Linked DNA regions of Pelodiscus sinensis. The protein of the gene in region 3 interacts with the protein of the main gene of each other region in a pairwise test. Links are inferred from orthologs where the notes say so. Each region holds a gene or a part of one and is shown on either strand. Other genes may lie near its edges.

Region 1 (7,223 bases), on a different chromosome or scaffold from region 3:
AGGCCCCACGGCCGCCGGCCAAGCCGGATCCTGGCTCCAGAGACACCCGCTCCCAGCCGGGCCCCCAGGGTGGGGCGCTGCCCGGGCACCAGGGTGGGGGCGATGGGCCCCGGCTCTCACGCATCCGCCCTGCAGCAAGGGGGGGGGGTCGGGTCAGCCCTGCTCCCCAGGGGAGTGAGGGGGCAGGTGTCCCACCCCTCCCCCGCCCCCGCTCTACAGGAGAGGTGGGGGCCCGTGGGGGGGGGGGTCTGCCCATCCCGCCGCGCCTGGGGAGTCTCAGGGCAGTTTTCTTAAACAAACACCTCCGGGCCTCAGTTTCTCCATCCGGAAAATGGCGCCAATCACCCACAGCTCCCGCCTGAGATCAGGGTCCCGTGGGGCCGGGCGAGCCCAGACCCGGCCGAGATCGGGGCTCCTTACAGAACAGAAACTCGCCCCCCCCCCGTTCATGTGCAGCGTGAGATAAAGGGGGGTTTCCAGAGCAGGGCAGGGGAATTAGCCCCCTGTGGGGAAACTGAGGCACAGGGCCCAAGGGACTTAGGAACCGAGCCCCAGCCTCCTTTGCCCCAGTGACCCCCCCGAGGGGTCTGTAGCCTGCCCATGGAGCCCAGCTCGCCCCCCCCCCCCCCATGGTGCCACCCCAGCACCTGGCTTCGGAGGCTCCCGGCTCCGTAGCTGGTGCCCAGGGCTTTGCACCCTCCCTCGAGCTTCCCCCGCCCCCCCCCTCAGCAGCTCCGGGTGCCCGCAGCCGGCTCCAGGGAGCCCGCCCCGGCCAGCCAGGCGGTATAAAAGGGGCCGGGCCGGGCGGGAGGTCAGACGCGCAGCTCCGGCCCCGCGCTCCAGCAGGTGAGGCAGCGGCTGGGGGGCAGTGGAGGGCCCTGGCCAAGGGGGCAGAGCTCTGGGCTCGCCCGGTCCCCAGAGAGCCGCTGGGACGGACAGACGGGCCCACGGGACGGGACGGCACCGCCCGGGTTCTCCCCCCGGCTCTGGGAGGGAAGCGGGGGCTAGTGGTTAGAGCAGGGGGGCGTTGGGAGCACTTGCCAAGTGCTGGAGCAGTCTGTGCAGCCGGGGGCGGCTCCTGCCTCAGTTTCCCCTCCCCCCCGCGTGCTGTTGCAGGTGGCGATGGGCCCCGCCCGGCTCCTCCCGGCGCTGCTGCTGGCCGGCCTGCTCCTGGGGGCGGCGGCCCACGGGCCCCCCGACGCGGCGTTCCTGCGGCGGCACCAGGACAACCCGCGCAGCGCGGCCGGGCCGGACTACTGCGGGGCGCTGCTGCGGCGCCGCGGCCTGGCGCCCCCCTGCCCGGCCCTGCACACCTTCGTCCACGCCTCGCGGGCCCAGCTGCGGGCCGTGTGCCGGGAGGGCGGCGCCCCCTCGCCCGGCCTGCGCCGCAGCGCCCGGCCCCTGGCCCTCACCACCTGCGAGCTGCAGCACCGGCGGGGCGCCCGCTGCCTCTACCGCAGCCACGCCGCCGCCCGCTACGTCGTGCTGGCCTGCGAGCACGGCCTGTGGCCGGTCCGGTACCACGAGCCGGCGTGACCCCCCGGGCCGCCCTGCGCTGGGCCTGCCCCCCGGGGCCGGCAATAAAACCCCTTTGCTGGCACAGACGTGGCTGCGTGTGCGCCAGGGCTGTGGGGCGGGCAGGGGGCGCTCTGCCCTGGCAGGTAGAACTGGCCCCAGGGTGGCACTAGGGGTCCTGTGGGGCAGGGAGGGGGCGCAGCAGGGGGCGCTCTGCCCTGGCAGGCAGAACTGGCCCCTAGGGGGCGCTGTGGGGCAGGGAGGGGGCACAGCAGGGGGCGCTCTGCCCTGGCAGGTAGAACTGTCCCCAGGGTGGCACTAGGGGGCGCTGTGGGGCAGGGAGGGGGCACAGCAGGGGGCGCTCTGCCCTGGCAGGTAGAACTGGCCCCAGGGTGGCACTAGGGGGCGCTGTGGGGCAGGGAGGGGGCACAGCAGGGGGCGCTCTGCCCTGGCAGGTAGAACTGTCCCCAGGGTGGCACTAGGGGGCGCTGTGGGGCAGGGAGGGGGCGCAGCAGGGGGCGCTCTGCCCTGGCAGGTTGAACTGTCCCCAGGGTGGCACTGGCAGGTTGAACTGTCCCCAGGGTGGCACTAGGGGGCGCTGTGGGGCAGGGAGGGAGCTCAGCAGGGGGTGCTCTCCCCTGGCAGGCAGAACTGGCCCCTAGGGGGCGCTGTGGGGCAGGGAGGGGGCTCAGCAGGGGGCGCTCTCCCCTGGCAGGCAGAACTGGCCCCTAGGGGGCGCTGTGGGGCAGGGAGGGGGCGCAGCAGGGGGCGCTCTCCTCTGGCAGGCAGAACTGGCCCCTAGGGGGCGCTGTGGGGCAGGGAGGGGGCGCAGCAGGGGGCGCTCTCCCCTGGCAGGCAGAACTGGCCCCTAGGGGGCGCTGTGGGGCAGGGAGGGGGTGCAGCAGGGGGCGCTCTCCTCTGGCAGGCAGAACTGGCCCCTAGGGGGCGCTGTGGGGCAGGGAGGGGGCACAGCAGGGGGCGCTCTCCCCTGGCAGCCTCACTACTCCACTCCCATCTCCAAACCAACCATCTTGGGTCAGAAAAATGAACGGAGCTCCCCGCTTCGCCCGTCTCCAGTCCTGCCCCAGAGGGAGTCTATGGGACCCGGCCCAGCAGCCTTTGCCCTTTGCAGCTATTCAGCAAAGCCCTGCAGCGGGCGGGGAGAGGGAAATGTTTAACCTGCCACTCTAGAGAACGGGCAGCCAAGAGTTTCCTAAGAGCTGGCTCAGGCGCCCGCATGGCCCAGGATCCAGGCACTCAGTATCCCACGGCGCTGGGGGGCGTTGCACGGGATTTGCAGAGAAGGAGCGGGGTGCTGTTGTTTCAAAGGGCCAACAGGACGTCCGGGTTCATCGGAGGCAGGTCACCCTGACCTCGGTCCTGAGCAAAATCACGAGGCAATTACAGGTCCGCAGCCAAGTACCATCACTAGTGAAGAGCAGGCCGGAGCCTGCGCACAGATTGGTGTTTTTCCGGGGTGCTAAAGGTACAGGAGCTGCCGTACCCCTGCAAAGCGTGCACTGCCCAAGGCTCTGAGGGCGGGAGCCGGCAGCTGGGAGCCGCACGCACCGACCGGCCTCGCCAGCTGTGAGCGAAGGAAACGAAAGCCGGACGACCCTTCCCTGGCTGCGCTGTCCACTCAGAGCCAGCAACGCGGCCTGCTTGCAAGCAGTCCTGGGGGGAGAGCCTCGATGCTGCCGAGGGGATTTAGGCGCATGTCTGCCCCTAAGATCTAGCTGAGCGGCCCAATGTCTCCTAGGGGATTTGGACGCGCAAGTCCCCCTAATTTCAAAGGGGAGTCGGGGCAGCTGTCAGGTGCTTGGCAGGCCCGTCTGAGTGTGCGGCGGGTAAGATTCCCCCCAGACCCACCACACAGCGCTCCAGGGAAAGGGGCCTGTGAGATCTGCCTCTCCCCAATTCAGGGGGGCCCACTCCAACGTGACCCACCTGGGGCTGTGCCAAGCGCATTGGGCACCCAGTGCGAGTGGAAATTCCTCCAGCTGGCACTCGGCTGCTGTGGGGCTGCGGCGGGGGCTATGGGGAGCTATGCCCGACGAGGGTCACGGCCCCCCGGCTGCTCCCTGGGCTCTGCAGCCCGGGCCTGGCTCGCTCAGCAGCTCAGCTTCCCTGGGGGCGTGTGCCCACTTGGCCCCCTCCCCTTATACAGGGGACCCAGGGGGACCTTCACTGTGGGGGGGTGCAGCGAGGGGCCCGGGCAGCAGGGGGTGCAGGCTACACCCCCCGGCATCGCCTGGGCACAGCTGGGGGGGCAGGGACAAGCCCCCAAATCCCGGGCAGGGACAAGCCCCCCCCATTAAATCCAGCCCCAAACCAGTGTCAGCTTCGTGGCTCCAGGCTAAGTTCTGCCCCCCATTAAATCACCACCCCCAGGCGGCGGGGCGGGGCGGGGCGGGGGGAGCAGCCCGCACGCTGCGCAGGTCCACGGGCCGCTCCAGCTGTGCGGGGGGGCTCGTGTCGCGACATGACGCGGCCAGCGCCGCTTTGCCCCTCCCCGCGGCCCGACCTCAGCGGGCCGGCCAATGGCGGGCGAGTATGCAAATGAGGCAGGGAACACCGGCGGGAGGGGAGATCGGGCCAATCAGGCAAGGGAGAGAGCGCGTGCGCGCGGCGCGTGCCTGAGACTCGAGCCACCGCCTCCCCGGAGAACCTTTAGGCCCCGCCCAGCCGCAGCTCGCTGGCCCAATCGCCGCTCCCGCCACGGCGTTCGAACCCCCTCATTTGCATAGACGCTGGCGATTGGCCAGTACTGGGGGCGGGGCCGAGCGTTCCAAGATGGCGGCGCCCGTGGCGGCGCGGCGCTGGCGGGGGCTTTGGGGGCCTCGTGGCGGCGCGTCCCCGCTCCGGGTGAGTGACCCCCCCCCGCCGGGCTCATGAATAGTCATGAGCGGATTTGCATAAAGGGCGCGGGCGGAATAGAGCACGTGACCAGCCCCCCCTCCCCCGGGATAGCTCCGCCCCTCCTCTGACCCCCCCCCGGGCCATATAGCCCCATATGGACCCCGCCCATAGAACCCTGCAGGGACCAGACCCCCCCGGGCCATATAGCCCCATATGGACCCCGCCCATAGAACCCTGCAGGGACCAGACCCCCCCGGGCCATATAGCCCCATATGGGCCCCGCCCATAGAACCCTGCAGGGACCAGACCCCCCCGGGCCATATAGCCCCATATGGACCCCGCCCATAGAACCCTGCAGGGACCAGACCCCCCCCGGGCCATATAGCCCCATATGGACCCCGCCCATAGAACCCTGCAGGGACCAGACCCCCCCCCCCCCGGGCCATATAGCCCCATATGGACCCCGCCCATAGAACCCTACACGGACCAGACCTCCCCCCCGGGCCATATAGCCCCATATGGACCCCGCCCATAGAACCCTGCACGGACCAGACCTCCCCCCCCGGGCCATATAGCCCCATATGGACCCCGCCCATAGAACCCTGCACGGACCAGACTGCCCCCCCCCCCCCCGGCCATTTAGCCCCACATGGACCCCGGTCGTAGACCGCTGTATAGATCAGACTAGGGATGTCCACAGCGGGGAGGGGGCAGGCTGCCTGTACCTACCTTACAACTGACCTGGAGCCACTTGGGCCATTTAACCCTGTATGGACTGTCCATGGAGTCTGCTGCTGTGCATCCTCTCAGGGCCGCATCCCCCGTATGGCCTTGCCCCCTCACTGCCAACTGGCTGGGCCGGCCAGCCCCACGTGGAGCACCCAGGCAGGCCGTATAGGGCCGTATGGACTGGCTCTTGGAGCCCTGCTCTCCTCATGCTGCTCTCCCCACTTAGGCCTTCGCCACCGTCATCCCAAAGGTGTCTCAGGTGGACAACTCCTCCGACTTTCTGGGCAGAGTGCCCCACCGCCGGCACCCCGGGGTGCTGCACCTCAAGACCGTGCAGCTTCCGGCCGAGCTGGTGAAGGCGGCCCAGCTGCTGGTGGAGCGTAAGTCACCGTGGGGCGCGAGAGGGCTCCGTGCTGCCGGAAACAGGGCAAGGGGCTGGGGGGGGGGGGGCTGCTCCTTGCGCTGCTGTTACCCAGTTGCCCTGCCCCAGAGCTGGCTGCATTTCCCCTCACGGGGAGCCAGCCCCAGACGCGTTATATGTGGCTGTTACCCAGCTGCCCTGCCCCAGAGCTGGCTGCATTTCCCCTCACGGGGAGCCAGCCCCAGACGCATTATATGTGGCTGTTATGCAGCTGCCCTGCCCCAGAGCTGGCTGCATTTCCCCTCATGGGGAGCCAGCCCCAGACGCGTTATATGTGGCTGTTACCCAGTTGCCCTGCCCCAGAGCTGGCTGCATTTCCCCTCACGGGGAGCCAGCCCCAGATGCGTTATATGTGGCTGTTATGCAGCTGCCCTGCCCCAGAGCTGGCTGCATTTCCCCTCACGGGGAGCCAGCCCCAGACGCGTTATATGTGGCTGTTACGTAGCTGCCCTGCGCCAGAGCTGGCTGCATTTCCCCTCACGGGGAGCCAGCCCCAGACGCGTTATATGTGGCTGTTACCCAGCTGCCCTGCCCCAGAGCTGGCTGCATGTCAGCACCACTGCTCGATTCTCCTCACTGGGTCCTTTGTCTCTTTCTCCCCGCACCAGAGTCCACCATGCAGGGGCTGAAGGACAAGGTGGAGGGCCTGACCAACTACCTCTGGAGCCGGAAGCGCCCCCTGGAGGCCACCGAGCTGCAGCGACGGGGGGTGCAGCTGGAGCAGCAGCTGCGGGAGACCCTCCGGCCCCGCACAGAGGGTGAGTGCACACCCGGGGCAAGAGGAGAGAAAGCTGCGGGGACGGGGTGGGGGGCTCTCCCTGTGCACTCAGCGCTGGGTCCTGCTGCTCCCCCCTTCCCCTGCGCTAACCACTATCCCCCGCTCCTCCCCCAGAGAACCCAGGAGTCCTGGCTCCTCCTCCTTGCCCCCCCCATGTAACCACTAGCCTCTACTCTCCTCCCAAAGAACCTGGGAGTCTGGGATCCCAGCCCCTCCTGCTCTAACCAGTAGCCTCTACTCCCCTCCCGAATAACCCAGGAGTCTGACCCCCCCCCCAGCCACTAGCCCCCACTCCCCTCCACGAGCCAGAGAGGGAACCCAGGAGCTCTGGCGCCCAGTCCCCCCGCTCTAACCACTAGTCCCATTCCCCTCTCAGTAAACCCAGGAGTCGTCCCCCCAGTAATTGCTTAACCCTGTTTCTCCCCGTCAGACCCGCCCGGCCCCTTGACGGACGCTGAGGAGCAGAGGCTGCAGAGGAGGGTGCTCAACAGGCTGCGGAAAACCACCTACCACTGGGAGGAGCTGAGGTGGGCTGGGTCCCCCGCTCTGCCGCGGTGCGCCCAGCTCTGGGGAGGGGCCCGGCCGGGTATATCGCCCAGCGCCGAGGGGCGCCCAGCTCTGGGGAGAGACCCGGCTGGGTATATCGCCTTGCGCCGAGGGGCGCCCAGCTCTGGGGAGGGGCCCGGCCGGGTATATCGCCCAGCGCCGAGGGGCGCCCAGCTCTGGGGAGAGGCCCGGCCGGGTATATCGCCCAGCGCCGAGGGGCGCCCAGCTCTGGGGAGGGGCCGGGCCGGTATATCGCCCAGCGCCGAGGGGCGCCCAGCTCTGGGGAGGGGCCGGGCCGGTATATCGCCCAGCGCCGAGGGGCGCCCAGCTCTGGGGAGAGGCCCGGCCGGGTATATCGCCCAGCGCCGAGGGGCG
Region 2 (7,754 bases), on a different chromosome or scaffold from region 3:
GGTTGTTGAGACAATGTCCTTTCTGGTTGCAATGGCAAGAAACTGTTTTTCCTTTGTGATCCTGTCTAATATCTCTTTTGTGGGCGAAGTGTCTGAGACATTTGTCCAATGTACATAGCTGACGGACACTTTCGGCACATGATAGCATAAATTATATTTCTGGATGCGCAGGTTAGTACTTGATAATCCCCCATTCAAAGCTTGCATTAGCCCTCTTACCATCGCATCAGTTTGCGAGGATTCATATATTTGGTTGTCCGGTATGATCTCTGAGTCCTTTAGGGTGTGTCTACACAGCAGCATAATTTCGGAATAACAGCCATAAAATAAATATGAAATAACAGACGGCTTATTCCGACTTCTGTAAACCTCATTCCACAAGGAATAACGCTCATTCCAAAATAGCTATTTCGAAATAGCTGTAGTGTGGACGTTCCACTGCTGCTATTTTGAAATAGCTCCTCCCCAGGGCCATTCAAACTAATTACTCTCCAGTGCCTGCTAAGGCTCTAAATGGACATAGCACATCCACATTAGGGGAGCCTGCCTCGGACTAATTTTGAGGCTTCTCTGTAGTGTAAATGCGCTATTTTGCAATAAGCTATTTCAGAGTATTTCTTCTGGAATAGCTTATTCCTAAATAAGTGTACAGTGTAGCCGTACCCTTAGTCTTCCTCTTTCACACCCCCCATTTACATGGACTAGTCTAGGGAATGCAGAGCAGAATTCAGATATGTGAGGTCCCAAGATTAGAATTGCAGGGGGCATTGGTCTGTGTGTGCATGTGTGCACAGTTGTATATCCACAGTAGACTATCTGGGCTGCAGCATGTCAGAATTACCGTGTGCTAGGAGAGTGGTGTGTAGGCCCAGGACTGCAACTGTGATGATCGGGGGTGATGTGGGGGCGGCCAGAGAGAAACAAGGCCCGTGTGAACTGTAGGCTCACAGTGGAGGAGACTCAGGCGGCAGTCCCCACATAGACGAGCAGGCAGCTATCTACAAGGTGTGACCTGATAGGCTGTAGTGGTTGGGCCCACGTAGCTGTAATGTTCTGAATATTAGAAATGTCTCCTGGGTTAAACTTTTTTCAGTCGCTTAGGCTATGTCCACACTCGCGGCTTCTTGCACAAGAAATATGCAAATGAGGCTGAGCGTGGAATATCGCCGAGCCTCATTTGCATACCTAATGAGCCGCCAGTTTTGCAGAAGAGGCTCTTGCGCCAGAGGTAGCTGTCTACACTGCCCCTTCGTGCGCAACAGAAACCCTCTTGCGCAATGCTGTTCTTCCTGAAAAGTAATTGGTGTAACAGCATTGCGCAAGAGGGTTTTTGTTGCAAAAGAAGGGGCAGTGTAGACAGCTCCTTCTGGCACAAGCGCTTCTTCTGCAAAAATGGCGGCTGCTTAGGTATGCAAATGAAGCTCGGTGATATTCCACGCTTAGTCTCATTTGCATATTTCTCACGCAAAGACGCCGCGAGGGTAGACATAGCCTTACTGTGTCTTGTTGTATTGTACACTGGCTGTGCACTAACGTGATCCTTCTTTACTGAGTAAACTGCATGTCCCTTCCTAGGAAGGAAATACCTACATTTTCTAGATTTAGGAAAATGTTTACATTTAGGACATTCCTAAATAGGAACTAGAAGAGTGTATTGGACTCCCCTCCCAGGGTTAGAATTCACAATGCAGATCCCCACTTCTTTGAGTTTGATCTTCTCTGACTAGGCTGACGGAAGCATTCACTCCCCTCACAACATGAAAAAATGCATCACTCCTAGCAGTATTGGCTTGTGTGTGCTACCTTGGATTGCCCAACAGTAGCTCGAGGTGGGAATATGCTGCAGGTCAGGATTAAGATTAAGCGGCGGGCGGGCCCCAATACTGGATTAGCAGTGTGGTTGGAGATCAGCAGCAAGGTGCATTGGCAGTGCTGTGTGTGTGTCAGAGCTGACACCTGGCTGGCCTGCTTCGTGCCTGGCTCCAGACAAGTCCTGCCTGTCAGCCTCCTTCAGCATCACAGAGCAACTGTCAAACCCAACCTCATGCAAGGCTGTTCAGGCAGCTGCTGCTTGGTAGGATGGGTGTTCGGGGGAAAGGGGTGAGAGGGAAGCTCTGCTGTGTCACCTAAGCAAATGTTTACTGAGCAGCCATGCTCCTGAGAAGTGTCAGACACCCCCAAATCGTAATAATTGCAGGTATTCTGTATTGCTCAGGATTGGGCCCACAGCACAGCCCTTTTCATTATTGCTAAGATGGGGGGACATCCTGTTAGGGGCTCAATGTGAGTCTTTCTCAATGTGAGTGAGTTTCAGGTTGTGCGGTGTGTTACTGGGGCAGCTTTTCACCCCAGGAGAGGGGCTCAGCTGTGGCTCAGGGCAGGCCACAAAGAAAAATTAGTGGCATGGTTCTTGGCATGTGCTTAGAAATATTTGTTCATATGGCAGCAATCACCACACACAACCGGGGCAATGCCAGACAGGTCCACATTGCCCAGTGGCCTGCACCAACACTGGCCACCCCCAGCATCTGCAAAAAGCCCCAGAGTAGACAATTCAGAAATAGCCTTCCTACGGGTGTCTCACCAGCAAACTGAGTTCATTGTTGGCTTATATCTTTAGAAATAAGTTCATATCCCTTAATTTATGAAATCCTTTCATCGAACTGGATACTCTCCTTGTCCACATTCATGTCAAGCTCTTTCCTGTCTTGGAGCAGTGAGTTCCACAGATGATTATGCATCACATAAATAATGCATTTCCTTTCATCTGTTTTATATTTGCTGCTTTTCAGTGTCATTGACTGCCTGCTTGTTCTTGCATTGTGGAATGGGGTTACTGGGGTGGGGGTTGGAACAGGGCAGGCGTTGGCTCAGGGTGGGGCGATACCAGGGTTGGGAGAATGGAATAAGGCAGGTGCTGGCTCCGCATGGGGGTTACTAGGGCTGGAACATCGTGGGGGTTGGTTCCGGATGGAGTTTACCAAAGTGTGTATGGGGGGGCTGAGGCAGGGTAGGGGCTGGCTGAGGGTAACGGTAACCGGGGCAGGGTTGGCTCAGCATGGGAGTGACTTGGACTGCAGGGGCTGGAACAGCTCTGGGGTTACTAGGGCGGGGGCTGGGGGGGCTGGAATAGCTCTGGGGTTACTAGGGCGGGGGTTGGGGGGGCTGGAATAGCTCTGGGGTTACTAGGGCGGTGGTTGGGGGGCTGGAATAGCTCTGGGGTTACTAGGGCGGGGGCTGGGGGGGCTGGAATAGCTCTGGGGTTACTAGGGCGGGGGTTGGGGGGCTGGAATAGCTCTGGGGTTACTAGGGCGGGGGCTGGGGGGGCTGGAATAGCTCTGGGGTTACTAGGGCGGGGGTTGGGGGGGCTGGAATAGCTCTGGGGTTACTAGGGCGGGGGTTGGGGGGGCTGGAATAGCTCTGGGGTTACTAGGGCGGGGGCTGGGGGGCTGGAATAGCTCTGGGGTTACTAGGGCGGGGGTTGGGGGGCTGGAATAGCTCTGGGGTTACTAGGGCGGGGGTTGGGGGGCTGGAATAGCTCTGGGGTTACTAGGGCGGGGGCTGGGGGGCTGGAATAGCTCTGGGGTTACTAGGGCGGGGGTTGGGGGGCTGGAATAGCTCTGGGGTTACTAGGGCGGGGGCTGGGGGGCTGGAATAGCTCTGGGGTTACTAGGGCGGGGGCTGGGGGGCTGGAATAGCTCTGGGGTTACTAGGGCGGGGGCTGGGGGGCTGGAATAGCTCTGGGGTTACTAGGGCGGGGGTTGGGGGGCTGGAATAGCTCTGGGGTTACTAGGGCGGGGGCTGGGGGGCTGGAATAGCTCTGGGGTTACTAGGGCGGGGGTTGGGGGGCTGGAATAGCTCTGGGGTTACTAGGGCGGGGGTTGGGGGGGCTGGAATAGCTCTGGGGTTACTAGGGCGGGGGTTGGGGGGGCTGGAATAGCTCTGGGGTTACTAGGGCGGGGGCTGGGGGGGCTGGAATAGCTCTGGGGTTACTAGGGCGGGGGTTGGGGGGCTGGAATAGCTCTGGGGTTACTAGGGCGGGGGCTGGGGGGCTGGAATAGCTCTGGGGTTACTAGGGCGGGGGCTGGGGGGCTGGAATAGCTCTGGGGTTACTAGGGCGGGGGTTGGGGGGCTGGAATAGCTCTGGGGTTACTAGGGCGGGGGCTGGGGGGCTGGAATAGCTCTGGGGTTACTAGGGCGGGGACTGGGGGGCTGGAATAGCTCTGGGGTTACTAGGGCGGGGGTTGGGGGGGCTGGAATAGCTCTGGGGTTACTAGGGCGGGGGCTGGGGGGCTGGAATAGCTCTGGGGTTACTAGGGCGGGGGTTGGGGGGGCTGGAATAGCTCTGGGGTTACTAGGGCGGGGGCTGGGGGGCTGGAATAGCTCTGGGGTTACTAGGGCGGGGACTGGGGGGCTGGAATAGCTCTGGGGTTACTAGGGCGGGGGTTGGGGGGGCTGGAATAGCTCTGGGGTTACTAGGGCGGGGGCTGGGGGGCTGGAATAGCTCTGGGGTTACTAGGGCGGGGGCTGGGGGGCTGGAATAGCTCTGGGGTTACTAGGGCGGGGGCTGGCCCCGCATGGGGGTTCCCAGGGCAGGCTCAGGCTGGGGCAGGGGCTGGCTCAGGGCGGGGGTCCATTCCCGGGGCGGGAGGGGGGCGCTAGTGACCCCGTGCGCGCTCCACCCGCTGCCCCCGGCCCGCTCCCTTTCCGTCGGGCGCAGGTGAGTGGGGCGCGGCCCCTTTAAGGCTCAAGCCCCGCCCCCCGGGGGGGAAAGTTTCAGCCGGGCCGGCAGGCGCCGCAGGTAGCGCTCCGGGCCCCGCCCCCGGCTGCTGGGAGCCCCTGGAGCCGGGCGCGGCGGCGGATCGGGGCGGCGTCCGCAGGCAGGTCCCGGGGCCGGGGTGCGGGAAAGGGGCCCCCGCCTGACGCTCTGCCGGCCCTGCCCAGGGAGCCGGCCCCGGGCCCGCTGGCTGCGAGCCGCGCTTCGTGGCGCTGCGGGCGCGGCTGGGCTTTGGGAGAGCGGAGCCCGGCTGGCTGCGGACGCGTTCCCCTCCGGAGCGAGTGGTGAGCGAGCGCTGGATCGCTGTGGCCCGTGGGAATATGGGCAAGTGGCTGCAACTGCTGGAAAATTTCAGTGGTTCCATGGTTAAACCGGCTCCCAGCGCGCCCTGACTCCAGCCTGCCAGCCTGCTCCCTGCTCCCGGCGAGCCAGCTGCTGTCTCGGATACAGAGGTAGCGGCGCGGGGTGACAGCCGGCTCCCCCAGTGCAGAGGTAGCGGCGCGGGGTGACAGCCGGCTCCCCCAGTGCAGAGGTAGCGGCGCGGGGTGACAGCCGGCTCCCCCAGTGCAGAGGTAGCGGCGCGGGGTGACAGCCGGCTCCCCCAGTGCAGAGGTAGCGGCGCGGGGTGACAGCCGGCTCCCCCAGTGCAGAGGTAGCGGCGCGGGGTGACAGCCGGCTCCCCCAGTGCAGAGGTAGCGGCGCGGGGTGACAGCCGGCTCCCCCAGTGCAGAGGTAGCGGCGCGGGGTGACAGCCGGCTCCCCCAGTGCAGAGGTAGCGGCGCGGGGTGACAGCCGGCTCCCCCAATGCAGAGGTAGCGGCGCGGGGTGACAGCCGGCTCCCCCAATGCAGAGGTAGCGGCGCGGGGTGACAGCCGGCTCCCCCAATGCAGAGGTAGCGGCGCGGGGTGACAGCCGGCTCCCCTGGAGCAGAGCTGCTGTGTCTGATACAGAGGTACCAGCGTGGGGTGACAGCCGGCTCCCCCAGTGCAGAGGTAGCGGCGCGGGGTGACAGCCGGCTCCCCTGGAGCAGAGCTGCTGTGTCTGATACAGAGGTACCAGCGTGGGGTGACAGCCGGCTCCCCCAGTGCAGAGGTAGCGGCGTGGGGTGACAGCGGGTTCCCCCAGAGCGGAGCTACTGTGTCTGATACAGAGGTACCAGTGTGAGGTGGCAGCCAGCTCCCCCAGAGTGGAGCGAGAACCTGGGCAGAGCCGTGAACGTTAACCAAAATGTGCAGGGTTATTTGTTAACCGTAAACTTTACATGGTTAAACGGTCACATCCCTAGGGCAGGTGGTGCAATCCCTGTGATGCGCGGTGTGTGTGTGTGTGTGTGTGTGTGTGTGTGTGTGTGCATGGCTGCTTAAGCTGGTCCAGAATCTGCTCCCATTCCCTAATTGTTGGTTTCTAGCCCTGGGGCAGTTCAGGGAGGAGAGGAAGACTTGCAGCTTGTGTTGGGCGTGGGGAGTTTGTTTCCCTATCTGTTCAAGGGCCCCTGGTATCTTACACAGCAGTCCCAGGCTTCCTGCTGCAGGAAAGGGCCATGACTCTAATAACTCAGGTCCCTGCTTTGTTCTGCTTGTGGGAGGATGCATTCATTTCTATCTATGAGGCGAATGTCCTGTCATGAAAGAAGGAGGGCTGACATCTACCCAGATAGAAGCAGTATTTGTCTTACATGCTTGGACAGTGCTTGGTGTGCATGTGGAATCATAGCTATCGGACTGTTGTGTTGAAAGCTTCTCCACTTGATAGATGCAGGTAACCTTCCTCCAAGTCACTTTCCTAATTAGAAAACCTTAAACAACGAATAGTCTAGTAGCACTTTAAAGACTAACAAAACATGTAGATGGTATCATGAGCTTTCGTGGGCACAACCCAATTCAAACCTTCATCCATTTGCAAATATTTTCTCCCTTTGCCAGAGGTGTTCCTGTGTTGTAGCACACTGGGAGACCGGCCAACTTCAGATGGTGCAAGCAAGGTGGATTTGTTTACAGGTGCAGAGGGGTGTGTGTGTGTGTGTGTGTGTGTGTGTGTGTGGGAGTGTGTGTGGTTGGTATAACTTCTGTGGTCAGAAGGTGTAAATTGGAGAATTTCAATTCACACCTTGCAGTCACTTTTGTGTTATCCCTTTGCCATGCCATACGTCAGAAGCTTGAATCTGAGGACCCAATCCAGAGATTGTGTCGAAGCGGGTGGAGGGGTGGAACAGCTTTCATGTGAGGACAGATTAAGACAACCAGGACTGTACAGTTTAGAAGAGAGACTTCTAAGTATGGCTCTGATAGAGGTCTATAATCATGACTGAGGTGGAGAAAGTGAATAAGGAAGGGTTACTTACCCTTGGGGTAACCCATGAAGCAGGTATCAATGAAATTTATAGGCTGAATATTTAAAACAAAAGGAAATGTGGAAGTCAACTTGTGGAACTCATTGCTAGGGGAAATTGTGATGGCAAAAGTATAATGGGGTTCAAAAAAAGAATTAGACCAGCTTGTGGAAGATAAGTCCCTCAATGGCTATTAGCCAAGAGAGTTGGGGCCATGCTTTGGGTAGTCCTAAACTTCTGACAGTTGGAAGCTGGGACTGGATGGTAGGGGATGGATCATGTGATAAATTGCCCTGTTCTGTTCATTCCCTCTGAAGCACCTGACACTGGCTGCTACTGGAAGACAGGATACTGGGCTGCGTGGACCCCGTATGTCGGCTTGTCTGACCCCGTATGTTCATTCTTACAGTCTAAAGCCGTGGTGTCCAATGTGCTTGCTATCATGTCTGTTGCTTCAGAACTGGTTGGACGCCACGGTTCTAAAGGGTCTGGGTTACGTGTAGGAAAGTGAGAGTTTCAAGTCCAGCTGTTGTAATGCATATGCAGAGTGGATTAGAAGCAGGTGCGATCTAAAGAGGTAAGCCCTCCCTCTGTATGAACCAGAGTTGGCCCCGAGTGTATGCACTTAAACGTAGGCGAGGGAGGGTT
Region 3 (7,135 bases):
TTGTTGCCCACCCACTGCCCCAGGGTGTCCCAAGGTTCTTGGCGGGGATCGCTTGGCCGCTGCTGGTCCCACTGCCGCCAGGTGTTCTCCAGAGTTCCCAACTAGGGCCACCCGGCCACCGTCGGCCCTCCTGCCGCTGGGGGTTCCCCAGCCAGGTCCACACCATCGCTGGGGATTCCGGCTGCCCGCTTCTGCCAGCCCCACTTCAGTAGAGGGTTACACCGGGACTCCCCAGCCATGTGGCCTCGTTAACACGGGGGCTTCCCCAGCCTGGGCAGGAGCCTGGCTGGGGCTAAGGGTCCTAAGCCACTGGCTTTCCCTGTTGATGCTGGGGGTTCCAGGCCAGCACAGGGGCTCCCGAAATGCAGCCTGGCCCAACTGGGGCTCCCCAGCCCTATGTTGCTCCAGGGCTGTTTGGTCCAGCAACATCGCTGGCCCTGCCAGACCACGGATGTTGCCGGACCAGAGTCCCAGATTTGGGAGGTTCAACCTGTACCATTATATTACAGTGCAAGATGCAATACAGACCAGTGGTGGGCAACCTATGGCCCATCAGAGTTCAATGTAGGAATGTTAACTATCATTTGTGTAAATGTCTAACCCCTGAAAATTTTAGCAGTTACACATTTACATGCAGGGGGACAGGTGCAAGCACCAGCTCCCAGCTGCCCCCGATAAAGAGCAAGCAGCATCGGGGAGAGGAGCAGGCGGTTACCTAGGAGCCAGTGCTTGTCAGGAGCCAGCTTTTAAGCTGGATCTCTTGAGCTCTGGTCCCCTTTTACTTCCCCCCCAGCGCTGCTGCCTCTGTGGGAAGCAGTGGCGAGCTGACTTGAAAACTGGCTTGCCTTACGTGCCAGCTCCAAGGGGCCATAGCAGGCAGGAGCCAACATGCATGGGGAGCAGGCTTTTAAACTGGCTCTTCGCACATGCTGGATTTCGTGACGCCCTGCCCCGCCACTTTCCAAAGAGTCAACAACATGGGGAGAGAGGAGGTGGACATGCAGAAGCCCCTCTCCCTCTCACTGCTGCCTCTGTGGGAGGCAGCAAAGGGAGGTGGGGGCTTTTGTAGAGCAGGCATGCACAGAGATTCAGCTTAAAAGCCAGCTCCCCGTGTGTATCAGCTCCCATCTGCTCTTCCTCTCCCTCGGGCACTGATGCCTATTATAGGCAGCAGCGCGGGGGGGAAGCCAGTGCTCAGGGGGGAGTCAGCTCCCACCTCCCCCACGCTACTGCCTCTGTGGGAGGCAAATGGCTCTGTGGGAGGCGGCAAGCACAAGGACCCAGCTTAAAAGTTGGCTTCCTATAGACACCGGCTTCCACCTTTGAAATATCAGAAGCGGTAAGGGGGGAGGGAATTTGCATGTAGTTGTTATGATTAATCAATAAGCCTGGGCTTATCGGTTAACTGTGTAACCAACTATACATTAACATCCCAAGTTCAATGTGTGGCTTGCAAGACATTTTGTTCACCACTGCCCAAGTGCAAGGTTGCCAGATTCTGCTGGTCTCCATCTAATTTTTTCCCCCGACTGATATTGCTAAAGTGACGTTCACATAAAGCAAGGGCACGTGAAAAGAGATGAGTACGGACCACACAATTCAGTCAGCACACCTGACAAATGCTAGGTATGCAAAACTAGGTTAGGAAAACTACACTATTCTGGGAGGCCATCTTGGTTATGATAATCTTGCAACCAAGATGAAGGAGGACCACTCATGCGGCCCACTCACTAACGTAGTTAGCCGATTGTGATACAGATCAACCCATGTATTGCAGCAGCCTCCAGAATAGGGATGGGGAACCCCTCCAGCCCCAACCTTTCCTTATCTCCTAGGAGGCAGGATGGCACACCACACGCATGTTCCCCCCTTCCAACCGAGGGGAGGAGGTGTGCAGTCGCCGCAGCCTCCCCAGCACTGTTGGAAAGCGCAACATGCCACGTGGCCTGGCCGAGCCCAGCCTCTCGAGCACTGGAGGAGAGAGGAGGCAGGCCATGCTGCACGGAACAGCCCAGTCTAGCTCAGCCTGTCCAGTCCCAGAACACCAAAGGAGGGAAGAGAGCATGCCATGCAGCCAAGCCTGGCCTCCCCAACCCTGGAGCACTGGGAGTGCTGGTGCAGGGGGAAGCAACACTCCGCCCCCAGAACGCTTACAGCGGAGTGTGGACGGGGCTATGCCTGATGCTTTGGCACAGTCCTCCCCCACCTTACATACCTGATGTCAATGAGCAGCCGCTGACCCACAGAAAAGTCAGCTGGGTGCACATACGTATTTTGTGCCCAGAGATGACACTCCCCACACTGCCCTTGCACACCAGAGCCTGGGGGGCCCAGGCGAGTAGATTTTGAGTGCTCCAAAACCTGGCAATCCCCACCAGGGCTGTTCTGGAGCGCAGCTGCAAGGCCGGCTGCCGGCCACAAGGGCAGACGATGGGTATTTAATGAGGGGGTATTCTGGCCAAGGGCGGCTGGTTAAATGCCTGCGTTAGCCCCCTGCTGTTAACACTCACTGACTGGCTAAAAACCCCTCTTCCTTCACCCAGCAAAACCTGCCGACCTACGACCCAGCCTCGGCCATGCTGCCCCGCTCCCCGCGGCTGCTGCGGTCTCCGCCGAGCACCCGCTCTCCAGACCCTGCCCCCCAGAGCCCGGCACCCCGCCGGCCGGCGCTGCCACTGGCCCTCGGGGAGGGGCAGCGCAAGAGCCGGCCTGGCCCCGCTCACCAGCCGCCGCCCGCAAGGGAGCCGAGGAGACTCAGGGGAGGGGAGCGCAGGCGGCGCTGCACCGGGCCTGGCGAGGACGGAACCACTGAGCGGCCGGGACCCGCGCACGCGGCACGGGGAGGGGGGATGTCCCGGTAGGGCCACGGCTCCGCCCGCCCCCACCCCGCTCGCCACCAGCCCCGCCCCACCTGGCCCCGAGCTCAGCCTCCGGCCGCCACACGCTCCGCCGCGACCGTTACAACTGAGGAGGGGCGGAGCCAGAGGACGCTGCTGGCGGCGATTGGCCCCGCCCCGGCGGAGGCGGAGCTTGCCCCTCCCAGGCCCCGGCACGAGGGAACCGCCCCCAGCGCCCTGGCTCGCGCCTGGCCCGCTGCCCGTTACCGGCCTTAGAGTCCACCCGCCCCCAGGGCGCGCGCGGCCCGGCCCGGCCCGGCGGCAGCGGCGCTGCCAGTGGATGCGCCGGGCGGTCGCGCTGATCGATGCGCGGCGCGTCGCTTCCCTGCCCCTGTCGCCATTTTGGCCGCGGGGGCCGGAGGGAGCGCGGCGGCGGGGAGCGGTGTGCAGCGAGACGCGCCCAGGTACGAGAAGCCCCGGGCAGGCTGGCGCCCTTCCTCCTCGGGGGCGCTGCCGGCTCGTCGCACCCCAGAGCCCAGCGGGGCCTGGGCGGCTTCTGACCCCCCCCCCCCCGGTCCCTGCGATTCCGCCCAGCCTGGCCTGCAGCGCCCCGCTCCGCGGTCACTGCCCCGAGCGCCGGGCTAATCCCGCGTGGGGAGCGCCTCGGAGCCCTCTGCCCCTTTGCTTTATTCAAGTGGCCCCTGTTCATTGGCCGCCCTGGAGATCCCGGTGGCGGTGGGGGACACACGGGCAACTCCGCCCCTCGCGCTTTGGGACTGGCGCTCTCCCGGGAACAAGTCCTGTTAGTCTGTAACTTAAAAAACCAGCGTCTTGAGCCGCCAGCCTAGACAACATCTACAGAGAATCACCAGCTTTCCTGGCCAAAACCCAGGCACTCGAGATCATCTCATCTGAGGAAGTGGGTTTTGCCCAGAAAAGCTCATGATACTGTATGTATTTTTATAACCTTAAAAAACAACACGTACTCTGGTAGCACTTTAAAGACTAACAAAACATGGAGCTGGATGATACCATCTCCATCTTTTGTTAGTCTTTAAAGTGCTACCAAACTATCTGTTGTTTTTTAAGGTTATCCTGTTCGGACTAACTCGGCTACCCCTCTGAAGCTGTATGTATTTTTGTTAGTCTCTAATGGTACGTTTAGACAGTGGCGCTTTTTCGAGATACCGGAAGTATCCCAAAATAGCAATTTCATGTCTTTAAAGGTGCCCATTATTTCAAAATAACGAATGCGCTATTCCAGAATCCCTGTAACCTTTGTGGAACAAGGGTTAAGGGACTACATTTTGAAATAAACTATTTTAAAATAACCTTGAAATAAGATACACAATTTGTGTAGCGCAAATTTCATAGATTATTTTGAGATGAGGGTGCTGTTTAGGTGATTTGTCATAAATGTACTTCCTAAGTTTAGTTGGTCAAGTTCAACTACTAACATGCTGATGAGAAGTGCTGAGGGTCTTCAGTAAACCAGCCTAGTAACATACCAAATAGAGCTTGACTCTGGTGGTCCTCTTGAGAGGAAGGCAGTGGCCTTTGCAGCTTTCTATTCCACAACATGAGGCTCGGGCTAGTTGCCATAACTGCGGAAGGAGCTGATGTGGGCAAGACCTTTGTTCCCTTCAGCCCCCTTCCTTCCAACAGAAATATTCTGCTTCATCACATATTTCAGTTGCACTGTCATTAAAATCAGCATCCCATGTTGTAATAAGCTTGGTAGCAATGTGGTTTCTCTCCCTAAACCAAGAATATAAAAGAAATAACATCAGTGTGAATCTGACTCCATTGCTACAAGTTTTCTGGACTTCTAAAGATGGCATAGAGGAGGGGCAGCAGCAGGGACATACTGAGTGGTCTTTTTAACTTATGTTTATATTTTACATTAAAGACTAGGTTAAAAAAACTAACAGAACGTATATAAAACATTGACACAATGGAAATAGGATAGAAAAACAAAATTCAACAAAATAGATAAATAAGTGACAACATTCTAGGAGTATTGCGGACTAATATGTACTAAATTTCAAAAGTATGTTATAGTTTAATATGTGATCAAATATCCTTATCGTTTTTCCAAGCATTTCTATTAATGGGAAAAAATGATAGATTAATTGAAATGCCTTGATACAATGCAGAAGCTTGGAGAAGGGAAAATAGTGATAGGGATGTAAAATAGTAGTTGATTAGTGGACTACCTGATAAGCCTAGGCTTATCGGGTAGTCGAGTTGACTACTCGCTCCCTTGCTGCCTCTAATATAGAGTCAGTAAACAGGGGAGGGGAAGCAGTGCTGGGGGAAGCCGGCTTAAAAGCTGGTTCCCCCTAGCACAGTCTTCGTGGTGCAGGGGAGACAGAGATGCAGTAGTCAGGGACCTGGTGTGAGCCAGAACTGTTGAGTCCCAGCTCTCGTCGGGTCCACCACTGCAGCTCTGTCTTTTAAATGTAGTAAGAGCTGCCTGGCCCTTGCTACATTTAAAAGGCAGAGCTGTAGCAGGGTAAGATCGAGACCCGGCATGAGCCAGGACTCAGCAGTCCCAGCTTGTGTTGGATATGGGACCTACACCATCTGCGGCTCTGCAGTTTAAATACAGTAGGAGCTGGGCTGCCTGCATGCCTGGCTCCTACGATATTTAAAACTGCAGTTGCAACTGTGCCCCTTATTGACTAATCGTGTACTCGATACAAATTGTATCGAGTACATGATTAGTCAGTTACCTACTACTTAACATCCTTAAGCACTGATTATGGTGTTCCAGAACATATGCATTTTTGACAGGTATAGAGGATGTGTGAAGGGCTGATGTGTGGCTGTTTGGCAACTCACCACATCTGTTGGAAATGCAATGTAGCCTTAAATAAATGTTCTGGAGTCCATAGTACTTGTTCAATATCTTGTTCTGGAATAATCACGAGAATGAAGAACTTGAAGTATCTTTCACATTAAGCCTCATATCCTCCCAGGTTCCTCTTGTGTTAAGCTCTTTTCCTGTTTTTCTTTGAGACTACATTCTCTACAAGTTCCCTGCATTTTGTGTATCGTTTTTATGTACATTCTGTTTTTTGGTATAGCTGTCCTGTGAATTTTCACTACGATTACATACTCAACTGACATATCTCAAAGGGAAAAATGCTTGACACACAAAACTTTGATCTGGAGTGAATCTCTTTCAGAGGATCTTAGCCTTTTGACCTGAAGTTAATCAAAAGGTCTTCCATTATGTCCCCTTAACCTTTGTGGATAAATTGCAAATATAAATTAAGTGAAATATTCAGCTCAGGTACTGATTTATATTTGCCTGTGTTGTATCAAGTGTAGAAATATATTACATTTTTTATGTTAGGGTTAGTGGAAGTTCTTGTGAAAATATCCCTGTGTGTTAAATGTAAAGAATGAGGAAAATGGATATTAAATTGGAAAAAGGATTACTTCTTAATTAAGAGGAACTGCAGTACTCGACATTTTCTTTGCTGCTATTCTGCTTTTCTCTTTCCTTGCTGCTAATTGGATTTAAGGCCGTATTGGTTACTATGGCATCCCGTGAAGAGATTACTCTCTATGAAGATGAAGTAAGGTAAAAAGGAACAATGCCAGAACATTCAATTCAGTATAAACTGGTCTGGAAATGTCTGCAATCTGAAATTTAATGGTCATTTCTGATAAGATCTATAGATGTGCATATTATTTTCTTGACATGAATACATAATACATGCATGCACCATTTACATGCATGTAGACACACATTAGATATTACCTAAGCCACTTGTTTTCAACACTTTTTCAGATGCAGACCCCTAAAAATGTCAAATGGAAGCACAGAACCATTTGGAAATCTTAGACATAGTCTGCAGCCCTCTAGGGGTTTGCAGACAAAAGTTAGAAAATCATTGAACTAACTGCAGTTTCTTTAATTTACTCAATTATATGATATTTATTTAACTGTTAAGATTGAATTTAATAGACTAGAAAAGATTTACAGTATAATCATATATATAGTAGCCCATTGTCTGTGAGTCTGTAACGCAAAATGCTGGGTGTTCCCTCTGGGGGGGCGCTGTTGCCTGAAATGCTGGCTGTTCCCTCTGGGCGGCACTGTTACTGAAATACTGGCTGTTCCCTCTGAGCGGCCCATGCTGCATGGGGAGTGCGGGGCCCAAACAGCTGCTTGCGCCGCTTGCTCCCCCGTGGCGGCCTGGCTGAGCAGAGCAGAAGTCACCCGAGTGCCATGGTGGGAGGCGAAGGGGGGGCAGGGTGGTGACGTGTGGCATGACAGCGGCTCC
Region 4 (7,998 bases), on a different chromosome or scaffold from region 3:
ATTTGTACTGACTACACGATCAGTCGATGAGGGAAGGTGCTCTATCCCAGCTCATGCCGGGCAGCTCTTACTACATTTAAAATCCTGGACTGGCGCAAGTTGGGACTGAGCCAGATTTGCTCAGTCCCAGCTTGTGCTGGGTTCAACAGCCCATGCCTTGGCCAGCCTGGGCCACCATGAACAGAAGCTGCTCTAGCAACAGGTCTTGTTCATGGCAGCCCAGGCTGGCCGTGGGCAGAGGCTGCTTCATGGCAGCAGCCCCTCCTGACCTACCCCTCATTGCTGCCTCTTATAGTGGCAGCAGCAGGTGGGGGGGAGGCGGCACCACAGAGATGGTGCTTGGGGGGAAAATGGCTTTTAAGCCATCTCCCCCCCAGCACCAGCTCCTGTTCCCCCATGCCCTTTGCTGCCTCTGCTACAGGCACTTACATCTCTACCATCCATCCTCCCTTCTTCTGAACCCTTCCCTCCCACTCCCCCCGGGGCCACACTGCATCTGGGCCCCCCTAAACCCAACTGCCCCATCTCCAGAGCCTTGCTGCTCCCTTAGAGCCATCAATTGCCCTCTGAGGCCTGCCCAGACCAGGACAGCCCATGGGACAGTCCCCTCCTCCCAGGTCCTGGTACTGAGCCCTGGAACCTCCACTCCTCACGGCAGTGGAACCAGTCCCCTGTGGGGCAGCAGGGGATACAGCTAACACATGGGCAAGGCCATGAGCTCACCAGCCACCTCGATACGGATCTTCATGTTGTTCTGCAGGACACCCAGGGGGTCGAGGTACTCGGCAGCCCGCCCCGATGCCACGTCCTCCAACTTGGCCTTCACCTGGTTCAGCCGCTCCTTGAACAGCCTGCAGGGTGCACCAGCAGGTACTGAGCAGAGTCCTGTCCACCCCAGGGATTCCCTCACACCACCCAGCATGGTCCAGTTCTGCCCACCACACCCAGCATAGGCCTGCTCAGCCCTTGCCAACCCACAGCATTAGCTAGCACTGAGATGCGGCCATTTCTTGGGTGGGGTGCAGCAGGGACAGTTTATACCAGGATCTCTTGCCTGGCACTGAGATACAGGCACCTAAAAGATGGGGAATCCAAGAGGGGACTCACTTTTCTTTGAGCTCAGAGAACTGCTTCTCCAGGTCACACATCTCATCTAGGCACTCGCTGCGGCGCCGCTCACAGTCCTCCTCATCCATTTCTGCAGGGCACAGCACATGTATCTTACAGGCCACACACAGACCAGGGCAACAGAGGCATACAGAGCCAGGACACTCACCCAGGTCACACACACACAGCTAGGAGTAAATAGAAGAATAGGACCCAGGAGTCCTGATTCACAGCCCCATCCCCCAATACCCCCCACTCTTCCCAGAGCTGGGAACATAACTTAGGAGTCCAGAGAGAGGACACTGGGGTCATGGCTTTTACCCTGGAAGCAGAGCCACATCCCAGAACCGCCTTGTGATAAAAGGCCAAGCCCCTCCCTGTATCCCCTTCCATACTCAAATACCTGAGCTTTCTTCCTCTGATTCAGAAGGGCTGGCACTACGTTCTTCCTCGCTCTCCTCCTCTTCACCATTCAGCTCAGGTGCCGAGTCCCCATCCCCCTCCATCTCTTCGGCCTCCTTGGGCACCGGATGCACCGGCATGGGCACTCTAGGTGATCAATGGCAGGTGATCCAGGAGGGTCTTGTTTCACTGCATCTCCCACCCTCCTCCATCACACCTGGCCAGGGACAGCTACCCACAAAACCATGGGACACCCCATGTGCCCAGACTGTGAATATGGGTAGCTCCACCACACCAACAGCAACCCTTGACAATTTGCATCCCCCTGCCCCAGGGCAACCTCAGCTAGTAGGCCCCAATCGCCACAGCCCATTGAGCTCCCAAGGCTTCCCACTGGCCAAGGAAGTAGCAACCTTCTCCATTGGGAGCAACGCCAAAACCCACAACTTGATTCACATGGAGCTAGATCAGAGCCAGCACCTTGCAGAGGTGTTTTATTTCCCCATCCCACACCCAGCCAGCCAGTCATCCTGCCATGGGGCTGGCACAGGGACAGCGCCTCCTTGTTCTCACTGCACTGTCATGTGCAGCCACCTTGTAGGGGAAACCCCGCAAAGCTGCCGAGATGCTGTCAGGGAGCCAGGTGCTGGCAGCTGCTATTGCTACGGCATTGTGACATGTGCTGCGACTCTGCAGCGATGTGTGCTGACCCCAGCGGAGCTGGGACCCCAGAGATCTGCTGCCATGAGCCTAAGTTGCGGATGGGAGCTGCTCCCTCCTTGCCAACAATGCAGGGACCTGGCTTCCAATAGGCCCAAGACCCCATGGGGCACCCAAGCCCCATAGACAGCTAGGGCTAAGGGTGGGAAAACAGGCAGAGCCAGTAACAGAACCCAGGAGTCCTGGCTCCCAGCCCCCTGCTCGCTCTGTAACCATGGCCTGGCCCATATCCCATAATGGGCTCACTACTGCATACGCAATGCTGGGAGAACCCCCCTCCATGAGAATGGTATTTCCCATTTTCTGCTCACTTCCGAGGAACATACCAATGCTATAACTGCCCCCTCCAATTGACACCGTTTGCTCTAGTCTATGCCTGTGTTGGGGAAGATACCACTGAGCCCACATACACACACACCAGAAGGCCACAATTCGCCCTCCCCTCGAGATTTCTTCGCATCTCCCAGTTTCATTGAATTTGTTTTGGAAGGTGTCATTCATGTCCCCATGATGGGGGAGGGGGGTGAAGTAGGATACAGTGCACCCCCTTCCCAAGCTACAATGGTCTGCGCTGCCAGTACGTTTCACGAGGAATGGATCTTTGAATACCCACAACATAGGGGCCGCAACCTTCCCCTGAGTTGCAATAATCTGCGCCGGCCGTCGCTGTAAGTTTCCCCCTTGCGGTTGTAATGGGCCAGCCTGCCCTCCCTTGAGTTCAACGGGGATGGAACCAACAAGTTCCACAAGCAGGGGAGGAAGCGAATTTCTCCCTTGGGTTGCGCAAGCTCTATCCTGGCTTCTATTGATCTCAGCGGGGAACGCACCACCCAGCACCCCATGAGGGGGAAGCTGGGACGAATCCATCTCCCGCTGCTCTGAGCCCCACGTACCTCGGGAGTCCAGGCCGGCGGCCTCCCTCCCGTAGCTGCTTCGCTTCTCCGTACCCGGAAGTCCCGTAGCTACTGGCCCCACCTTATTTTCTTGCAGCCAATCAGGGACACCAATTAATCAGCGCGCCGTTGACTCTATGGTTCCCAGCTGCCCACTACTCCGGGCCTTATGGGATAGTGGAGGATGAGACGTGTTCCCATGGCAACAGACCCACAGCCTAGCCTGAGATGACCACATCCATCGAAAGTTGGCTAAAGGGCGGGCACCCCCCGAATTGGTGTTGCCGCAGCACCTGCTTGTGACACATCACCATGGTACCTAGTCGAGTTGATGCCATGGTGCTTGGTCATGACATCTCCAGAGGACCCAGTCAGTGTTGTAGTGGCTCCTGGGCAGAGTCATCACAGCCTGGTGCAGTGTCACTGAAGCATTGCCACAGCTCCAGTCCCAGAATTGCTATAACACTTGGCACCCAGTCCCAGTCCCGCCTCAGTACAATGCCTTTGGCCTCCTTGCCATGGTGCACAAGCACAGTGTTGTCATGGGACTGCCCCCAACAGCCAAGTACCTGGAGAGAAGCCAAGGGTGTGTGGCTCTCAATTCCCTTCTCCTGATCATGAGCAGGATGGATTCATTGGCAGGAGAGCCTCTGCTTTGGCACATGAAGGAGTCAGCCCCACCCATAGTGCCACACAGTGAGCCAAGCCCTGTGCGGGACAGATACATTCCACCATTGCCTCCGGCGCTACAGAAAGGACCCACAGCAGGACACAGCCATGAGGAGAAGCTCCTGGCCTCCACAGTACTTTATTGTTCCAACCTAAAGTTTGCACGCAGGGCGACGGAATGCCAGGCCATTCCCTACAGTGCCAGAGGACAAGAGCACTCTGCCAGTCCCAACCAAACAGCATTGAGCATCTTCATAAATTAAGCCTCATGCCCCCTGCCCTCAGGAGGTAGGTCAGTGCATTTATTCCCATTTTACAAAGGGGAAAAATGAGGTGCACAAAGTGGAAGGGTCTTGGGGCAAATAGAATAAGTGACAAAGCTGGGAACAGAATTCAGAAGTCCTGAATTTCAACACGTCATTCTTTAACAACTAACCTCTACTCTCTTTTCAGCACTAGGGAAAGATCCCAGAAGTCCTGACTCTCCCTCCTCTAATTGCTATATTAGGTTCTCAACCCATAGCCACTTACAGAAAGGGAGAGGGAGCTGTTGAATCCAGAACAGCCCCCTTCTCTGCTCAGAGAGGGAAAGAATCATAACAAGAGAACTGTGGATGGAGGAAACAGCTGATTTCTACCCACACAGGCAGAAGACCAGGTGTGGTAGTCCTCTGTTCTGAGATAGTCTGATATTGAATGGAAAACTGTGGGAGGAGAATGCTGAAGTGAATTGGAAGAAAGGGATAAAGGGATACACAATCCCAGCAATAGGCTGGGAGTGGTGAAGGAGCCAGAGTGATGTGACTGGAAAGATTCCCCCCTAACTATAAACCTTTGTCTGATGTGAGCGTTAATGACTCAATGAAAAAGAGAGGGCACGGCCCCCCCAAAAAACACTGACACCAAAGCTACAGTTGAAGAGTCATAGGGAAGGCAGAACTGAGGAGCTGTGCCCAAGACAGCAGGCCCATCAGCATCGGCGCAGTGAGCCAGGATACTTCAGCTTCAGTTCCTGCTTGAACTGGCGAAAGAGCACCTTGTTGCGCTGATTCTCAGCATCCTTCTGTGCATGGAACTCACTTGGCACCTTGAAGCCCTTGTGCACCAGGAAAGCATTGTTCAGCACTGAGAAACTGTACCCAGCCACATGGAGCTCACATGCCTACAAAAGGGGACAGGAGAGCTGTGAAGGAGAAACCAGAGTAACCCCCACCCTCATTGGACTCTGAAGTGTCCCACACTTTGTTACATCAAGTGCAGAAAAGCAGCTACCTCTAAAGTGGAGTGTGCAGGCTGTTTATAGAGGGATCCTTCCCCTGGTTCTGAGATGCAGCTGCTTCTGGGGTGGGGCATTGGAGCTGTTTTATACAGGGATCCCTCACCCAGTGCTCAGATGCAGTATGGGATGTGGAAGCTATTTCACAGCTTCACAGAACACTACAATTCAGGACAAAAAGTGGAAATTCACTGGATTGAAGCTGTAGAAAAAGGGACAAATGGTCTTTAGTGAACACAAGGGGCCAAGGCGCATTTTACATCTAATTGGACGGATGCCACTAACAGGTATACTTACAGCACCTCCTGGTGCAGCCTTGGGCATTGAGGATAGCATTGAATGCAAGGTGAAAGCACCTCTTACTGAACCCTCCACCCTGCAGCACAATGTCCCTACATTGTGCTGCTTCTCTTCTCCAGCCAGCAAATACTCTTGGACTACGATTGGATCAGGGCCAAAACCCCCTTGCAAGGAAGGAAATAATCACTCCTCTTGCCCTTGTGTCTCTATGAGGCTCAGTAAGCATGGCCTGAGGCTGTCCAGTGATCAGGAGATCACCTGGATGAGACTTCCCTGATTTGTTTCACCCATGGGTCAGGACACCCTGCTCCATCGCTTGGGGAGGCTGGGTGTATTTCTGGGGTGTCTCCCATGGCACTAATGCCCCCCCATTCCCAGTTAGGCAGGTACCTGGCTGATGCGGTTGAACCCATACTGCTTGAATCTTTCATCGTAGGGTGGCACAGAGTTGGCACTGATGTAGAAGGGCTCCCAGGGGTCCCTCCACTCCACGGCGTAGGCGGTGTTCAGGGGACTGCCCAAGGGCAAGTTCAGCCAGCGTGAGTAGTTGGTAGGGGCCTGGCAGCGCGGGCAGAGCTCCTCGTAGAACGGCCGGATCTCCCCCACCTGATACAGCTGCAGTAGCTCGGTCTTGGCACCTGGGAGGCGCCGGGTATGCCGAATCTCAAAGGCGGGCACCACAAAGACACCCGGTGGCCCCTCAGCACCCAAGGTTGCTGCCAGAGCCAGAAAGGCCTCACGCAGCCCCTCACTGGGCAGCATGTCCACGTCCAGCACGAGGGTGTAGTGCCCAGTGGCTGCTCCCCTTGCCACGTTGCGCAGCAAGTTGTTGGGGTAGGAGGCGTTGGCACCCAGGGCATAGTTACGCCTGCCCACCCCGGCCCGTGCCAGCTTGGCGAAGACATCCCCACAGGCCTTCAAGCGGGCAAACTCCGCCCGGTCCTCCAGCTCTGGGAAGGCGGCCAGGTCCCCCGAGTGACACACCAGGTGGGCCCTCACCAGCTGGCGCACTGGCCCGCACAGTGTCCCCAGGGCGTAGAGCATCAGCGTAGCCAGCCGCACCTCGGCGGGGCCCGGTGCAAAGAGCGCCACGGAGACCGGGCCCTGCCAGCGCCCCACCAGCTCCTGCAGCTGGTACAGGTTGCTCAGGCTGGTGTGTGTGGCGAGCACCAAGTCGGGCGCCCGCTTCGCCCGCTCCGGGGGCCCCAGCATGTCCGTGTAGATCCGGTACTGCCCGCTGGCATCCAGCCGCCCGCCGCTGGCCAGGGCGCGCTTGAGCTGCTCCTTCTGCTGCTCGCTGGGCCGGCCGGGAGCCTCGCCCCGGCGCCCCCCGAACAGCTCCGAGTAGCGGGAGCGCTGCTGGCGCCCGTGCAGCCCCGAGAGCAGGGACAGGTAGAGCAGCTGCAGCAGGGCCACCAGTGCCAGCGCCCACAGCAGCACCTTGAAGAAGGAGCATCTGGCGGGGCTCTGCATGCCGGCCGCGGCCGGGGCACCGCGCTCAGGCCCGGCTCGCTGCGCCCATGCTCGCCATGGGGGACCGGCGCAGGCAGCGGGCGGCTCCAGCTCCTTGTCCTTGTATGCAGCCGGCCGGGAGGCCGGGAATGGAGGCACCCGTCGCTGCGGCAGCGCGCCACCTGCCCTAGGGAGGAGCCACTGCAGGCCGGCTCGTCAGCGCGCCCCGCCCGCCGGGGACGGGGGTGCAGGGGAGTGACCTGGTGGGGGGGGGGAGATTCTTGTGACCATTGCACCGGGCTGGTTCACGCCCCCATGGCTGCACCCAGTGCCCAGCTCGGAGAGCGCAAGAGAGAGAGGGACGTGGTGTTCAGGCAGGGGCGTGAGTGCAAAGGACAGTGCAGGGGGAATCACACCCCCTATACACAAGCAGACCCACCTCTCCTTGTGCACCCTTGCCCGCTCCACACATTCAGGGGTATGAGGAAATGACAGGAGCATTCCCACACAGAAGACGAGGTGGCCGAGTGGTTAAGGCGATGGACTGCTAATCCATTGTGCTCTGCACGCGTGGGTTCGAATCCCACCCTCGTCGGGTTCTTTTTGGGATCATAAGAGAGATATCCGGGCACTGTTTTCTGAACACTATTTCCTGTGCAAAAAAGAGACATGGATGCATGGGGGTGTTTATGGATTTCGCAACTGCACCTGCTTTTCAACTTGGCTCCATTCATGCACTGTAGTCTCCTCTCAGCTCCCATACTCCCCCTGAGGATAATGCTGGTAGAGGGGTGTGTGTTTGCAGAATCAGGGTGGATTTCAGGTGGGTGAAATAACATATTGGAACTCTTATAGCCCAGGGGCTGTCAATGGGGTGGCAGGCTGGGAACTGTATTAGACTTACCAATAAACTACCTTAGCAATATGAAAGCAAGGTAGCTTTTTGTAGCGGCAGGTAGGGCCAACCACTCCCACTTAGATGGGTGCAGACAGCAGGTGATTTGTCACTCTCTGGAGGGCCCAGTGGGAGACCCTTGAATGCGATAGGTGTGCTTTCTCATGGGGGGGATGGCAGAGAAGGAGGTAGCAATCTCCCCTCCCTAGGCAAGACTTGTTTCCCAGGGGAGGCTGCATGGCTGAAAGGCACAGCTTTTGGGGAAGGCTGCCCCCAGAAGCCAG

What was found.
Region 1: the proteins of CEP70 (region 3) and METTL17 interact in binary tests that used the Homo sapiens proteins (3 or more experiments, as listed by UniProt). The link is inferred for Pelodiscus sinensis from reciprocal best matches to the Homo sapiens genes CEP70 and METTL17.
Region 2: the proteins of CEP70 (region 3) and SYTL4 interact in binary tests that used the Homo sapiens proteins (3 or more experiments, as listed by UniProt). The two-hybrid records come from large-scale screens. The link is inferred for Pelodiscus sinensis from reciprocal best matches to the Homo sapiens genes CEP70 and SYTL4.
Region 4: the proteins of CEP70 (region 3) and BRMS1 interact in binary tests that used the Homo sapiens proteins (3 or more experiments, as listed by UniProt). The two-hybrid records come from large-scale screens. The link is inferred for Pelodiscus sinensis from reciprocal best matches to the Homo sapiens genes CEP70 and BRMS1.

Annotation. Positions count from the first base shown.
Region 1 is NC_134740.1:14,323,217-14,330,439, reverse strand, and holds the start of METTL17 (ribosome assembly protein METTL17, mitochondrial), read left to right. Parts: upstream 1-4,222; 5' UTR 4,223-4,308; coding exon 4,309-4,380; intron 4,381-5,329; coding exon 5,330-5,483; intron 5,484-6,132; coding exon 6,133-6,282; intron 6,283-6,732; coding exon 6,733-6,829; intron 6,830-7,223. UniProt on the Homo sapiens protein: Mitochondrial ribosome (mitoribosome) assembly factor. Binds at the interface of the head and body domains of the mitochondrial small ribosomal subunit (mt-SSU), occluding the mRNA channel and preventing compaction of the head domain towards the body.
Region 2 is NC_134723.1:4,978,554-4,986,307, forward strand, and holds the start of SYTL4 (synaptotagmin-like protein 4), read left to right. Parts: upstream 1-4,744; 5' UTR 4,745-4,880; intron 4,881-4,888; exon of another isoform or gene 4,889-5,061; intron 5,062-5,098; exon of another isoform or gene 5,099-5,229; intron 5,230-7,754. UniProt on the Homo sapiens protein: Modulates exocytosis of dense-core granules and secretion of hormones in the pancreas and the pituitary. Interacts with vesicles containing negatively charged phospholipids in a Ca(2+)-independent manner.
Region 3 is NC_134717.1:12,118,388-12,125,522, reverse strand, and holds the start of CEP70 (centrosomal protein of 70 kDa), read right to left. Parts: upstream 3,015-7,135; 5' UTR 2,912-3,014; intron 2,878-2,911; exon of another isoform or gene 2,724-2,877; intron 2,695-2,723; exon of another isoform or gene 2,216-2,694; intron 1-2,215.
Region 4 is NC_134721.1:32,358,136-32,366,133, reverse strand, and holds the start of BRMS1 (breast cancer metastasis-suppressor 1), read right to left. Parts: upstream 3,015-7,998; 5' UTR 2,848-3,014; coding exon 2,843-2,847; intron 2,578-2,842; exon of another isoform or gene 2,556-2,577; intron 1,657-2,555; coding exon 1,511-1,656; intron 1,199-1,510; coding exon 1,108-1,198; intron 852-1,107; coding exon 724-851; intron 1-723. Other genes in the region: B4GAT1 (beta-1,4-glucuronyltransferase 1), read right to left, coding at 4,762-4,953, 5,758-6,840. UniProt on the Homo sapiens protein: Transcriptional repressor. Down-regulates transcription activation by NF-kappa-B by promoting the deacetylation of RELA at 'Lys-310'. Promotes HDAC1 binding to promoter regions.